2 linked regions of the Arabidopsis thaliana genome follow. The gene in region 2 interacts genetically with the main gene of each other region. Each region holds a gene or a part of one and is shown on either strand. Other genes may lie near its edges. The genes, in order: UBP24 and ABI4.

Region 1 (9,238 bases), on a different chromosome or scaffold from region 2:
TCCTTTTTAGTTTACGCCTTACCTCCAACTCTTCTCTTTTTTAGGACTCAGTTTACGCCTTGCCACTAATTCTTTTTTTTGTACTCTCATGTTTGTTCTGTTCACATTTGGAAATTGCTTTGGCGGCTTTTTTGGGTAATAATAGAACACAACTCCAACAAGAGCTGAATTTGACTCTAATAACAAAGAATCAAACCCCTTATTTCTGCATATCAGTGGCTAAGACCTAGAAATTAAGATTCTACTACAGTAACTTCCAAGAAATGCTAATTTGAGTCAGATTTAACATACATGAATCGATTGACTAAGCCAATTTCCAAAGAAAACTCAATGCATCAAGAGAAAGTAAGAAAAATCTGACATCGATGAAACAATCGTGAAAGAGGAGCCGGATGAGAGACGGCGCGATACTTAGTTTGGCCTTGTAGATTTCTCGGATTGCTTTACCAACGGTTACCTTCGCGTTAGGGCAAGTATCTCGATAGAAATAGTCTTGCAGAGGCCATTCATTGACTTTATCTTCGGAGATTGACACGTAAAGGGACTCATGGAAAGAGATTTTCTTGGGAACCAATTCGACGGTTCGATTTTCCGGTGAATCTGCGGTGGAACGGAGAACCCTCACGACGTCAAAACCGTAAAGCTCGACGCAAATGCTGAGCGCGATTACAAAGCAAGTAAGAAACGCGATTTTGTATTCTCCAAGATTTTTTATGCGATTACAAAGCAAGTAATAGCGATTTTGTATTATGATTATTGTAGTATTTATAGAATTTGTTTTGTTCTGTTTGGTTATATCAAATAATTTGTTCTGTCATGAGAGTGCGAGATCTTTATATACAGTTTTGATGAAGTTAATAGCAATGATAAAGATTCGAAGCGCCTCTCTTTATTTTCTTTCTTCAGTTAAATTAAAAGTTGTAGATTTGTTTTACTAAATTTAAAGGAATGTATTTTCTTGAATAACAGGGAGAATCCAAAGTAAGAAACATATCATTCACTTGGTACAATAAATACTTTTGAAGAAAATTGATATGTTTTGATAATTAAAATAGCTTGTCCCTTTGGTTCATCTTTGGATTTGTTTGTCGTTTACTTATCTATCAATAGTACATTAATTTCATAACATATAAGTTTCATGCATTGGCTGCCATGTAGTTGTAGTTACGAGGAAACATCTTCAGAATCTCTTAGAAAAATTCAAGTCTTTTGTCACATGAAACCAATTGGAAAAATCAAACTAATTAAGTCTCATCATAAAAGAAAGAAAAAAAAGAAGAAGATAACCTCGCATGCAACACAAACCCTTAAAACCTCCAAAGCCACTATATAAGACCCCTAAACAACTTCTCTTCAACCAAAAACTCAAAGATACTCTCACTAGATTCAAACTAAAATGGTGATCGGTTCTCGTGCTTTGATTGGTCTAACAATGATCCTTGTGATCTCAGGAACACTACCAGTTCCAGGGCAAGGAACGTGCCAAGGAGACATCGAAGGTCTGATGAAAGAATGCGCCGTCTACGTGCAGCGTCCAGGCCCAAAGGTAAACCCGTCCGAAGCGTGCTGCAGAGTGGTTAAGAGATCAGACATCCCTTGCGCATGTGGCCGTATCACAGCTTCGGTGCAACAAATGATAGACATGGATAAGGTTGTTCATGTCACTGCCTTTTGTGGGAAGCCTCTCGCTCATGGTACCAAGTGTGGAAGTAAGTCTATATATATATTAAGAAGTTTTCTTCTTTTATGATTTTAATCTTGTAAAAATTGAAGGTCTCGCTAGAGCTATGTTGTGATTGTTTGTATTTTGCAAAAAAAATATTACAAAACTTGTAAATCTTTGATACATTTTTTTGTATTAACATGATGATCGTAATGTTTTGATGTTCCTAATGTGGCAGGTTACGTTGTGCCATGAGATTTGGGACCAGAACTTGAGAGCTAAGGGTTTGAAATGTACTCTTGTAATCTCTAATATGTTGAATGAAATAAATTTATTTTCCTTGTTTAAGATTCGAAAGAGGAAAACTTTATCACTAAACCATGATTTTGAGTAAACAACCAGATTTCTAAACCATGATTTAGATTAATTAACCGGCTCTCTAAACTATGATCTAGAATAATTAACTGGATCACTAACCAAGGATCCAGAGTACTTATTGAATCTCTAAATTCCATGATCTAGAATAAAAACCGAATCTTTAAACCAGTTTGTCATTTCATCGCCTTCTACTTGATTGATTGAACCATGAAAAGGAAGATTAGGCCAATGATAAGAAGACATGTAGCATAAGACATGAATTTTCGAATAATAAGTCTATGAAGTAGTAAAATCAGATTAAAACACCCATCTCAAGGAATCATAACAAAACTTCCAGTGTAAACCAGGTACTCTAAAACTATTTACCTACTGAGACCCCCTCCTTCAAAGTTATATAAGATGAGAACCAGATTATAGCATCGTGACTTAAACTCAGAAGACCGGACACAAGCCGATAAAGAGTTTACTCTTCTTTCTCCGACCATGGAAATCTGCTGCCTTTGAATCTCTTACACTTGCTTGTAGAAGAGGACATAGGCTTGATCGTGCAACACCAGTTTTGTCCCTATGGGGGTCACAGAGGCATCATCAAACCTTAGCCATTGACCATTCTTTCGTCGAGCATCTGTGGTGTAGTGTCCTTTTGAGGGATCCCATCCGTGGTGGGTAATTGTTGCCACAAGTTCATATCTCAAACTCTACAAGAAGAAATTTGACTAGTTCACAACAGAGGGATATCACATAGAGAGTAAGAGAAATGTGAAACATAGACAGTTCTGCTTCGGCTTTATACCTCATTGGATAGAGAAACAAGATGGCTGCGGTTTAAGTTGAGTTCAAGGGGAAATTTAACGCCTTTACGCAGCTTAGTACTCCCTTGGCTTCCGTAGCTAAAACGCATTAGGTGCAGTATCATTATCTTTGAGAGTTTCTGTATCTTTATCGACTTACTAGCACTCACTACACCAGTCTGAAATGAGAGAATCCAAACAAGTAACGAGGCAAATTATTATTTGAAATCCATAAGAAATATTTTGGGTCCTAAAATCCCACAGCTTCAATATAGTAAAAAGAGAAATAGTTTACCTTCCCAGTAACCGAGGCTCTATATCCTTCAAGATCTTCTTGGGCAGAAAACAAATGCAACGCGTCTTCTATTCCTTGCACACCGTCCGGATGAATATCAAGGTGTAGCAAGAGATACGGCTGTACAGTAGCCGAAGCTTTAGTTCCTGTACCATAAATGACATATGAGAAAATTCTATCATGAAAGAAATTTAGAATGATTACAAAAAATACAAATACCTTTTGCCTTCACTACGCTTTTAAGCTGCCCGCCAAATATCTCACTAAGCTCAGACGGAACAAAACTTTGTGTTCTTGTCACAGCTGATTTGTTTTTGGGTCCAACTGTTTCCCATTCATCACCATCATCGTTGGCAGAAGAAATAACCGATGACTTAGAAGCGGTGACTTTGGGGGACTGTTCCTTGAGTTTCAACAACTCATCATGCATTTGGTCCATTATAAAACTCAAAAACTCTTGAGCATCTTCCTGCCTGCCAGTACATGCACACAAAGTTAGAATAGGGACATACATATGAACTATTTAAAACAGAGGAACCATCAAAATTTAGACTGTGTAAGGGAGTCACTAACCTTGGCCTACCAGACATGTTGTTGAGTACATCTGGGGTAAAATTTCTAAGGACTCCTTCGAACATGGCAGGTCTAAAAGGTCTACCAGCCTCAACAACAGTAACGTTATTTCTGATGCTGGAACTGCTTGGCACATCCAATTCGGAGATGAACTCGGAAAATGCAGCTAAGGTTGGAGAGTCAGCCTGATAAAAAAGAAAATGGAAGAATATCGATAAGAAAACAAATATTATAGGAAATAGAACCAAAATCACAAAAGGAACAATGTACGTTAAAAACCTTTGGAATATCTTGGAGTTGAATTTTCTGGAGGAGCTGCACAAAAGGAGAACATGAAAGCAACGCTTGTAGTGTTGCATTCAGGAAGCACAAGTTTCCAGCGTTTATTAATCCTCTTGGTGTAAAGTCTTTAACAGGTGGAACAGATTCAGTAGGAACCTTCAGGTTTTTCTTTCTTTGAATGCTTCCAGACGAAGAGTCACTTGAGAAATCTTCATTGTCCAGCGCTTGAAATTTAGAGCTCGAAGCTTTATACACAGGATCACTTTCACCATCAGACATAGACAAGTTATCCAAACCAATAGGATCTGTTTTCACCGCCACACCATTGTTGAGAGATTTGTTGCTTTCAGAGATCTCTTTTATGATTCCATTTTGTACCACATGCTCTGGAACTCTCAAAGAGTTCTTTCTTGGGAGTTTTGCATCACTATCATTGTTCTTATCCGAGCTGGCAGGTCTAGAAGCATCAAGTCTCTCTTGAGACCCAGCAGATTTAACTGTCCCATCAGCCTCACCTTTCTTCAACTCGCCATTAGTATTTACTGAAGAATTTTCCGCAGCAAGATTCAAGGAGCCAAATTGAATACTTCCCACACACTTGTCTTTAGAATTCTGAGGATCCTTAGTGGGTTTCTGCTCAAAAAATGACCTAGTTTCATGTTCTGTAAAGGATCCAAACACAAATACCTGCCATGAATAAAAGTAGAATAGCAAATGTAAGTTTCAAAGGAGAATCATTTACAGAACAATTAAGAAACCAAATGATAATGAAAGTTAAGTCTCTCGGATATACATTGACCTCAGAGAAAAACTACAAAATGATCAAAACGAAGCTATAAAAAGATACTATCTCCATGAAACTAAACCACCTAAAACTAGTCTCTATTGCAATTGGGTGACCTCTGCATCGTTCTCTAGACCATGAGAACTAAACCTTAAGGGAAACAAAATAAGTGAAGAAACTCAAGAGGCAAACAACAAGTAGTAGGAAATTACCTTCTTTTCACTCATATTTGGCACATAGAACGCAACGGAGAAGAGATTGAAGAGCAGCACAACAACAACAAGAGCCCAAAAGACGTAATCTGATTCAGAGAGAGATCCGAAACGAAAGAAGCATGAGAAATCTCAAAAGCGAAATCAAAAACTAGGGTTTGATGCACCAACAACCCTGGATGAGAGTCGTAGACTTGAGAAGACATGAAAGGGGTAGAGAGACGGAGGAAGAAGAAAGAGAGGATTTGTTCTTCTCTGCAAATTCGTAATGGGTAATCATCCGAATTTGGAGGAGAGCTAAGTTAGAGAGATAGATAGAGAGAGAGACGGACCTTTCGGGGATTTTGAGAAAAGGAAATTAGGGTTAGGTTTCTGCTTCTGTCTTTTGTCGGATAGTTTTGAGGAGGAGAACGGAGCTTAGCTTAGCGCCGTGTTTGGATCTTCTTCGTCTCCTTTTTCGTCAAAGGCGTCGTCGTATCTTTACAAATATAAATCTCGGTTCGGTTTTGTATTCACTTTGGTTTAATTCGGTTATTCAACAAAACTATCTCAAACAGTTGTTGTTACTCCTGTTTGGTCTGAACGGTTATTAAAAACTCACGTGTCTGTAGGGGTTCCATGTCTCGGGTTCGAAGCTTGTCTGAAATTAATTTTAAACCTTAAAAAAATCTAGAGAGAGACCAAAAAGCCGACGATTAGTCCACCGTGACTCCACCGGTCCCTCCACCGTGACTTCACCGGTCCCTCCTCCGATTAGTTACTCTTCTTCTTCTTCTTCCCCCGTTTCCGATTTGATTTGTTTCTGAAGTTGCTGATTTATACATGTATCAGGAAATGGCTTTAAGAGACTTTTGGTGATCAAAGGGCATGACTTTCACAGATTTTCCAGCAAAAGTCGTCAAATGTCCAAGACTCATTTTCTCCACTGTTGTTGTTGATAAGAGTCTGAAACAACAAGGTTCGTATTGGATTCCTCAATAATATAATATAATAAATTATGTTGATTGATTTTCTTTCTTCGAATCCTGAGCTGTTTTTTCACATAAAAATTGATAAGCTTTTGACTTATTATTGAAAATCATGTAGGTCACGACGACGATGAGCTGCTGCTGATGTGAGAGAGACCTTTGTTTTTATTCGTCTTACCAAACCATAAAGAAAGAAGAGAGAAAACTAGAGGAAGAAGAAGAAGAAGAAAGGAGACAAAACAATGAGTGTGTCTTTGAGTGTGATGTCATTCAATCTTCACGATGATCTACCTGAAGAAAGCCCTAATTCATGGCTCAAAAGGAAAGATTTGTGTCTCACTGTCATCACTAGTTACTCCCCCATTGTTCTCTGTACCCAACAAGGTAATAATCTTTAGCCACAATGGATCAATGCTTGTTAGATCTTTGATTCCTTCTTCGTATTGGTGATTCAATGCTTGTTAGATCTTGCTTCCTTCTTTATATTGGTTCTCCAAGAAGGCTTCTTTTTCCTGAATGCTGGAGATTGATTCTTGTGCTTTTTCTTGCCTTCTGAAATATTGAACAGAGATAGGATTTTCGTTTTGATCTTTTGTTATCATGTTTACATTGGTTAGGTGTGAAGTCGCAGTTGGATTATCTTCAGCAGGGGTTGCCAGGTATAATTGAATTCTCTTTGATTTATGGAAGTCTAATCTCTACTTAAATGGTGTGAGTTAGGTCTAATTGAACCCTGTTTGTATACAGCAGTCTGCTTCTTCTTAAGTTCACAGACTAGTGTGAATCTTGTTATCAATCGTAGACCACTCTTCTTGTTCTCAATCTACTATGTAAATCTATTTGTGATCTACTAGATTTAATTCTATTTTTAGTATATGTTGGTATTGCTTAAATCTGATAGCCAATTTGTCAATCCGTATCCTTTTTTGCATCAAGTTCAAGTTAGTGTTTTTAGGCTACAAAAGCCGGAGTCTAGTGCACTTAATGCATCTGTTTTATGGCAATGGAATGCATGATATTCTCACATTTACAGGTGCTTTCTTTGAAATGATGGTGGTATTGTTTATCTGGTTTTTGTTACTGTGAACCATGGAGCTTAGCTTCTAGTTTCACATGCCTTAATAATACTTCAGTTTGCATTGTTTCTTTGAACTTAAATAGATGGTAGTACTCTTTGCTTGCAGCCTATGATCAATTTGGCATATCAAGAACAGGACCTGGGGATGCTAATGATGAACACTGCACCATCTTCTTCAACAAGGAAAAAGTATTAATTCGGTTGATAAGACAATACATAACTACGCTCTAAATAATTAATACGCTGCTTGATACTATACTTTATACTAATTGAAGGTAGAGCTGCTAGAGGGTGGAACTTTTTGGTTGTCAGAGTCTCCCTCGGTCCCTGGAAGCACGGCATGGGGTTCCGCAGTTCCTTGTATAGCGACATGGGCTATATCCTTTTTACTAGTTGGGTTCATTTTAGTTAAACTATAATTAGATTAGTTTATGATTTTGGTGTTTTTGTCCTATATATCAGTATTTTGGTTTTCTTTGACAAGCTGCCTACACATTCCAACTTAAAGGAGCGGAGCCGCCTGGTTTTTCGTTTCAGATAGTCAACACAAACTTGGATGAAATCAGCCCTCGTGCCCGTAGGCGAAGTGCTTTACTCACATGGCAACACATAGCATCATTACCTCCCACTTTGCCGGTTGTGTACTGTGGAGGATTCAACACACAGAAGGAATCAACAACAGGGCGGTTTCTGTTGGGCAGATCTAGGTACCTTAATATCACATTCACAAGTTTTGTGCTTTTTACCAATCTCCTAGAGTTTTCTTTCAGGGCTCCTAGTTAATGCAAGAATGGCTAAACCATTCTTCACACACTGATCAACTAGTTTCAAATCAAAGCATATTTACTTATTTGACTGCTGATGAATGGCTTTTGGGCATCATTCAACTTGCAGAGAGCATGGTGTGGTAGGAGATATGAGAGACGCATGGCCAAGTGCCCGAGTAAGAAAAAACGTCGCTCTCATAAGAACATACCATGATTTCAAAGGTGTGAAACATTCCACCCTCTCATGAGCTATAAAAATCATTTATCTCCAAAGCTTCTAGATCATAACATGTTGGGCCTTTGTTCAGGTGACAAGCAGGGAACGGTCGAGTTCCTGAAGCTGATATTCAGAGCGTTATGCCTCTGCTGGGACCGACAGACGCAAGATCTACACACGGATTGGATACTTTACAGAGGTAGATCTATAGTTCCTGTAATGTGCGAGATCGTAAATGATAAGATTGACGACTTGTATCCTTCATCTCACTACCCTGTGTTTGCTGAGTTTATGCTTCCTCGTTCTGTAAGAATGCTTGAACCTACTCCTCCTGTTTCTGCTCCTGCTCAAGAGGAAAGCTAGAACACATGTCCTCACTTGCTTAAGCTTTGGACTATACTGATTGTTGTGCAAATGAGCTCTGTTTTTTTCTCGGCGCCTTTATTTATTGATTTGAGCTAAAACATATTCAAAAGAGATTTAAATAAATTGTTTTGTTTGCTCCTAATAGTTTGTGTTATTATTGATGACCACTGAAACATAAGATTGACGACTTGTATCCTTCATCTTGTGCTCCTAATAGTTTGTGTTATTAGGTAAGTGATGTTACGGAACACAAGAATATCTACAAATAGTCAAATACTTTCAAATGGGTAACTCGTCATATTCAAGCGTCACACTTCACAGTTCACACAAGCAAATAAAAACCCTTTTACCTACATTAAAACCTCTGAGAATGTTAAATAAGAACTGGGAGCACAAAGATCACCTGCCTACATCTTAAGAAGAATTGTTCTGTACCCACTCAACAAGTGTCGCAACTCCAAACCCAGTCGCAGCTTTCTTCTTCTCGTTCCACACCCGTCCAGCCATATCTATGTGCAACCACTCAACATTCTCGCTAACAAACTGCAACCATTAACCAAATCCGGTTCTTCGTTAGAGAACAATAGAATCAGTATTGAAGTGTGTTTTTTTGTTTCCACTCTTATGGTATCCTCACCCGTTTCAAAAAGAGAGCTGCGGTGATGGATCCACCTGCACGGCCTCCAAAGTTAACCATATCTGCAACACCTGACTTCATCATCTCCCAATAACTCTCTTCCATAGGCATTCTCCATAACTTCTCTCCACTCCTCTGTGATGCAGCAATTACCTCCTTGGCAAGCTCATCACTAGCTGTGTACATGCCTGCAGAAATCAAAAATCGAAACCAATATTCAATCATCA
Region 2 (7,208 bases):
ATGTTTTGGTTATAAAGTTATTTTCAAATATCATAAATACCATAGAAAATTGACTAAAAATGAAACTTATTTTGCTAAAAAAGTAAAAGTTTAAGAACTGAATTCAAAGCTAATTAAAAATTTACCAAACTATATTGGATTTGGTTTTACATTGATTATTCTTTAAAAACAATACTAGTAAACAAAAACTAAAATCCAAATCAAACCATTAACATGTTAAAATCTTTATGTGGTTAATTGTACTATTACAGAAAATTGAAATAACTGAATTTCTGTCCAAATTTAGGTCCTAGTCAATATACCAAATTGATGATTTAATTAATTGTTCTGTCATTATTTAATGCTAATGATTATATTGACTAACATTATTTTCATTGTTGTGAATCATATTAATTCATAGTGTTAGATAATTATTTTGGAAACTAAATGTTGACTATACATTTTCTTCAGTGTAAGTATCATTTTCATATTTACATAGTATGAATTAAATATATATATATATGTATTACCATATGTATACATAAAAGTTGACTCTTGAATTCTTTATTTATAAATTGTTTTTTTTACTTCAGATGTTTTCTTGTTATTACATTGAGACTCTAAACTGAGAATTGTTTATAATTGTTTTATACAAAAAACTGAAACAACAATACTTTTAAGGGAAAAATATAAGAGAATAATATATTCTTAAAACTCTAATGGACATCTTGTATCTTTTTCTTTTTCTTTGTTTAGCGATCTTTTTTCTCTCATCGTTGTGTTGTTGTGGTTGAATGTTTTCTTTTGTGTACGTAGTAACTCTCTTTGTTTCTCGATTTTGTTTTTTTTGGATTCGGTTTGGTACTACTTTGCCAGATTTCAATAATACCAAGATATAGAGGAAAACAATAAAACTAAGCTTTATTCCACATTGTCTGGTGATCTTTCATAAACAACATTGTATGATTTGATTACCAAAATAATCGGTTCTAGAAAAGTTTATGTCAATCTCTATCTAGTATATGAATCACCATACCCATATTTGTGCACTTAAATTATTACGTAACCAAGATATAGAAAAGTGTTGTGATTTCATATAACAAATGAAAATATAATAATCTATTTTGTTGTGTTTTGTATATATAATTATTATAAATTAAATTAATTATTAATATTGAAATATTCATGTATAACCCAGTCAGATATGGGATTATTTTTAATTTAAATTTTGTATAATACTGTTAAAAGATTCGAAATATAATCATAAACAAAAAATAAAATTGATTTTTTCTTGTCAACTTCCAATAAACACCATAGTAAACAAGAAATCACAGGACAAGGGAAATACAGAAACGGAGAACTCTTTTTAGTCAAAGAAAGCTAGGATTCGGACAAAATCATGTCCAAACACTTTGAAGGATGATCGATACAAAAAATTGTAAACTTGAATATGAAGTGTTGGTGTGAGAATACCCAGCTCGAATAATGTAAATAATCTTCTCAACGACAACAATTATGCATCCAGTGATGAACACTTTTTGAAAACGTGTTTCTCTCCATAGTTTCTACATTGATGATTCCTATATTACTAAAACTTAATAGAGATATGTGTAAATATTCTCAGAGATAAACAAAATATAACTATATATAACCTCTGAAACTCGAACAACCAAACAGAAATTATCATATCCTATCAATAATTATATATTAAGGTAGGCACACTGTGAAGGAAGTGTTGAACCAATAAAATTCCCATACAACTTTCCACCATCTCCTCCGATTCTCTTCCACATATACATACTTTATTGGAACCGTAATCTCTTTTACGAATTCCTTGAAAATAAAAATCTTCAAAAAAATAATAAAAATACCCTCTTATTTATCTCTATAGGTAGTAAAAAAATCCTCCAAAATTTTGCATGCAGAGCTCCTCATAGAATGCAATCTCTTTGATTCCTCTCAACAATGAATCTCCAATGCTCTTGACCGACCTTAGGGATGCTCATCGTATATAATATGATCTTCCACAAAAACAAATTAATAGAATTCCCCCAAGATGGGATCAATAAAATCCCAAATACTCCCCCAATTATGACTATATTCTTCTTCTCCTCCAAAAGGCCAAATGGTCGAAGATCCATCTCCAACCATATAACCCGGATCCAGACCCATAGAACATACCGGATCAACCAACGGCGGTGGATGAGTTATTGATAGACTCGAACCCACCGAACCAGCTAGAGAGTTCAAATCCTCCATCGAACTATTATTATTACACCCACTTCCTCCTTGTTCCTGCCCTAACGCCACCTCATGATGAAACGAAGTCGAATTAGTTACCGGAACATCAGTGAGCTCGATGTCAGAAATCTTGTTATTGTTAGTATTAGAATGAAGATTCTGATACTGTTGGTGTTGGAATTGTCCCATCTGGACCATCTGATTTTGTTGTTGTTGTTGTTGAGGGAAAAAACCATAACTAGGGCATAACATAGAGGTCCCACCATTAAGGAAGATGTTGTTGTTAAAAGGGATACCGTACGGACCAAAGTTGGCTCCTCCTCCTACGGTGGCGGCGGCGGGGCGAGGGAGGAGAGGTCTTAGGGTTTGAGTGGAGGAAGAGGAGGTGGAAGGAGAAGAAGCGGCGGAGACGGAGGAGGAAGAGGAAGAGACGGAGGAAGGAGACGAAGGGGTTAAGTTGAGCTGAGCACGTGACCCGTATAGGTAAACGGCAGCCCGGTCGTAGGCACGTGCGGCGTCTTCGGCGGTTGCGAAAGTACCAAGCCACTTGCGAGTGCGCTTACGTGGCTCTCGGATCTCGGCGACCCATTTGCCCCAGCTTCTTTGTCGAACGCCACGGTAACGGAACTTGGAGTTGTCCGGACCACCTTTGCCTTTGCGTTTGCGTTGAGCGGAGGAAGTTGATGAGTCGGTGGTGGAATCGGATTGAGGATTATTATGGGTTAGGGTTTGGTTATTATCTTCCAGATGGTTGTGTTGATGTTGGGAAGCTAAAGGGTCCATAGATGAAGAAGAAGAAGAAGAAGAAGAGGAAGAGGAAGTAGAGAGAGAAAGAGAGAGATTAAAGAAATTGAGAAAAATAGTGGAGAGGACGAATCAAGAAGGAAGGGAAACTGAAGAGTGTTTGAATGTCATCGTTGTGAATGGTCGATTAGGGCGGTGCTTCTTTTATTTATACTTACACTCTCTTCTCACTCACTTCTTTTTTTCTTTTCTTTTTACTTACCCGTTTGTTTTCTACCAAAGAAGAAATTTGTGTTGTCATAAGTTACTTGTTACACATTGGAATGTAATCAAGGATATTATAAAAACATTTAATTGCTTTCTTTCTTTTGGGTAACTATAGCAAATCATGAGCGATATATAACAATATCTTGAAGTTGGTTCTTTTCTTTGATTGGATGGGTAATTGTGAGAAATACTCGCATGTTGAAAACACTCCAAGGCATTCAGATTTCAGAGGATTCAACCAGAGAGAACTGAATCAAATTCACCAAGGTTAGGAATATTGCAACATATATAAGAGAAATAAGCGTGTTCAAAAATATATATTAAGAGAAATAAGAAACGAATAATCTAAGATGGAACAGAGATATCATTTTTGTTTGTTTTTCTAAGTACTTGTCAATTTAAATTGTAACAAAAACATAGCAAAAGATAGGCAATTTAAAAGATTAAGAAGATCAAGTGAATAAAACAGTAGACAAAGATAACAAAGAAAATGATTTATGAGTTCAAGAATTAAAAGCATCGTTTAAAGTTGGCAAGCAATGAAACTAGAATAAATCATTACATAACGGCTAACGGGGGCTGATTAGCCATAAATTGTAGAGAATGAAACACTAATCAATGAATAATTACAAAGCGTGGCATGAATTACCCAATTTTGTTCAACTCTCTTGCAATTTAAGTGGTTAACAAGCATTAACAGATAAGTATACTAAAAAGGATCAAGGTAATTAATCTACCATTACCAACAACCCTAGTAAAAGATCTAAATGCATTTTTAATAGTGATCTTTATATTTTCCTCTATTTATAGAGGTGACTCTATTTTAAAGGCATTATGTTCAAATGGTCACCTCTAAAATAGAGTTTTCTCTATAATAGAGGAAGAAATAGAAATATTTACTTTTTGTCTCTATAAATAGAGATCTCTACAATTCATCTCTAATTTTTCTTCTATTTTTGAGGAAACTCTATTTTAGAGGTGACCATTGGAGCACAATGCTTCTAAAATAGAGGCACCTCTAAAATAGAGAAAATTATAGAGGTGACCATTGGAGATGGTCTAACCATATTCGCCCCTAATTTGGTTTTAATCTAACTTTTAGTGTTGAACTTAACCGAAGCTTCTATACTTGATGATTATGATCTTAGAGAAAAATTTAAGCTGTTGGGAAATCACCTTATGATACTATTTTTTTGATGTTTTATCTTTATACGTAAAATAAAATTGTAAACATAGATATAATTAAGGGATCGGAGGAAAAACATCTGGTACAACACGTATCATATTTTTGGACATAAGTAAAAACTAGAATCATATTTCTGGAGTAGTACTTGTTAAATTTTGGAGAAGAAAAATAAGTTGATTTGCGCACTCGGAGAGTGTTGCAGATCCATTGCCTGCTGCAGCCACTGGAGGGACAGAAATACAGATGCAGAGAGACACAGTAATTATTTTTCTGCTTTCATTACATAGATATATGTGTTCATTTAGTCCACTTAACACCATTCTTGGAAGACGACTTGGCTTCAGTCAAATACTTCGTCCGATAGATTTAGATTTTGGATACTACACCTTTTATTAATCTTAAAAAAGAATTATGTAGAAATTTAAAATACTCACATGTCAATGGATAAATAAATAAATATATTAAAAAGAGGAGTTATAGTGTAGATATTTATGTACGCTTCTTCTTTCTTTTTTTGTCATCATTTATGTATGCTTCGACTTTAAGAAATATTAAAAACAAAATATAACTGACATTTTTTATAAGAAAAGGAATTTTGAAAACAGAGAGAAGAGAAGAGAGTTTATTTTTTTGGTCGCCTAGAAAGACTAATCTACCGTATAGATTATGATGTTTGACCCACAAATATAACAAATGGAAGACCATTAACGTTTAGACTTTTTTCGAAATAAAAACTTGACTTCTTAGATCTTATACCATTGAAATTAAGAGACAAATTTTCTTAATATTCTTTTACTAAAAGTAAAAATAAATAAAATAAGAATTTGTTGAATTATCTATTGTTCTTATGAATGGTAGCATATACATGACTCCTTTTAATCTATAAAACATAACTCTTAGAACTATCGTCATAATAACAAGTTTACTTAGAAACTTTTCATTGATACTACTAATATAGAATTAAAGATTCGTCTGCAAGGGATTTACTTTTGTTGTTTGCCAACTACAAAACTATCAATTATTAAACGAAGAGAAAAATAGGAATATTGCATGGGAGAGATGAGGTGGCGAGGAAAGAAGCAAAGACAGCAAAAGAACCAAAGCTTTTTGTGTTGTGGTTTCTGAGATCTCAACCCAATTGCCTTGGAACTCTCACCTTTTTATGTCTCAGCAGAACCCAACTAGTTGCGCCATACATTCATTTTCTTGCATTTATCCACTTTATTATATAGTATCAATCAATATAGCTTGATTATTCCAATCTCAATCATTCACGTGAAATTTTGTATAACAATGACTCAAACATTTGATAACATTAAAGAGACATTGTTGAAGGCTTTTTTTTTAGTCAAATGATTTCCAGATGCTTAAGTTAAAATGATGACTATATCAAAAGGCAAAGAATTTCAATGCTTTGCTCACTAAGTTCTGCAACGGATCAAATATATGTTTCGAAAGATAGAAAGTGTTCATGTTTGAATATTTTCATATAAAAAAAAGCAAATGGTTGTTGCGGCAGAGGAATATTGTCGAGCAAGATGATAAAAATATTCACATGCCCACGATTACAAACCGTGGGCTGCACTTTAAACAACAGCTAAGATTATGTGTGCGTCTATATAAAAAAAAAAATGAATTCTCAAAAAACCTTTACGAAATTCTCAACCAATGCCTAAGGAAAAACACCAGTAAGGTCCAAAAACTTGTTAACGATTCAAAACATTTCTATTTTCCAAAACGCACAGTGAAATGAATGCTCTGGGCTAATAATGCCCAAGAAAAAACACCAGTAAGGTCCTAAAACATATAAAGCCGTTATAGGCTTCAAGAACCTCAACTCAAATCACTCACCAAGCCTCTATAGTATAGACGATGGAGAAGCATTCATATTGGGCTTTCTGGTCCATTCCTTTTTTATAATCCGTCCATTTTAAGTGTAAGGTTTAAATCCTGAACAAATTAGCTATATATTTCGAACGAATTCTGCAACTATACACAAACTAAACAAACCTAACCAAAACCATTTATTTGTATCTGTTTACAGGTAAAGGGTAAATTTCATCTGAATCTTTGCCGATCAAAGCCTTTGTTTTTTTGCTTAGTTTGTTTGATGTTGGCTATGTTTATTTAGTTTGTTAATGAATCAATTATACGGATTCTAAGATTGTGTAAGTAGCTTCGCAGGGAAACAAACGTTTTTCGGGAATAGACCATTTTTCCCCACTTCTATCTTGAATCTCACAATCAAGATAACTAAAGTACTTCAAATGTGTTATGAGTTATTCCGATGTATGATAATTCTTAGCGTTTTGCTTTTCATCGATAACACCTCGAAATCTCAAATATTATTGATTTATGTAAAAATGTTACTACATTATAATCAGAGTTTTGAATCAAATAAAGCAATCTTACAAAACACTTCTCTCTTTGGTTGCGTATTTCGCCAGAATTTTTGTACATTCGTTTTCTTTTCTATGTTTTAGGTTATCTTCAAGTCGGAACATATAAAATGATCTTAAAAGATTAAGAAATACGGATATGCACTTAGATTATATCGTTATTTAATTACTTTGTATGGTGGAGCTTAATATATAAATGTAATTTCACATCTATTTGCAGATATACGTTGGATAGTAGGTAGTTCCATGCTGGCTATAAAATAAAATCGTAATTTAAAAGTCGATTATTAAGATATTTATGAGTTATGCAAAGTTCATTCCCTTTGGTCGAGCTGACTTTTTAGTGCCAAATCTCTAATTGAGATTCGCTCCAACCATAAATATAAATGAGT

Evidence for each region.
Region 1: changes in ABI4 (region 2) and UBP24 impair growth when combined (synthetic growth defect), as found in Arabidopsis thaliana (one study listed by BioGRID).

The regions. Positions count from the first base shown.
Region 1 is NC_003075.7:15,033,833-15,043,070, forward strand, and holds UBP24 (ubiquitin-specific protease 24), read right to left. Parts: upstream 5,586-9,238; 5' UTR 4,994-5,585; coding exon 4,979-4,993; intron 4,670-4,978; coding exon 3,980-4,669; intron 3,886-3,979; coding exon 3,701-3,885; intron 3,601-3,700; coding exon 3,347-3,600; intron 3,274-3,346; coding exon 3,128-3,273; intron 3,012-3,127; coding exon 2,835-3,011; intron 2,740-2,834; coding exon 2,551-2,739; 3' UTR 2,188-2,550; downstream 1-2,187. Other genes in the region: AT4G30880 (Bifunctional inhibitor/lipid-transfer protein/seed storage 2S albumin superfamily protein), read left to right, coding at 1,397-1,709, 1,902-1,918; AT4G30900 (DNAse I-like superfamily protein), read left to right, coding at 6,189-6,330, 6,564-6,605, 7,131-7,213, 7,300-7,401, 7,517-7,731, 7,919-8,013, 8,100-8,371; AT4G30910 (Cytosol aminopeptidase family protein), read right to left, coding at 8,789-8,917, 9,012-9,199. UniProt on the Arabidopsis thaliana protein: Recognizes and hydrolyzes the peptide bond at the C-terminal Gly of ubiquitin. Involved in the processing of poly-ubiquitin precursors as well as that of ubiquitinated proteins.
Region 2 is NC_003071.7:16,794,583-16,801,790, forward strand, and holds ABI4 (Integrase-type DNA-binding superfamily protein), read right to left. Parts: upstream 3,004-7,208; coding exon 2,017-3,003; 3' UTR 1,665-2,016; downstream 1-1,664.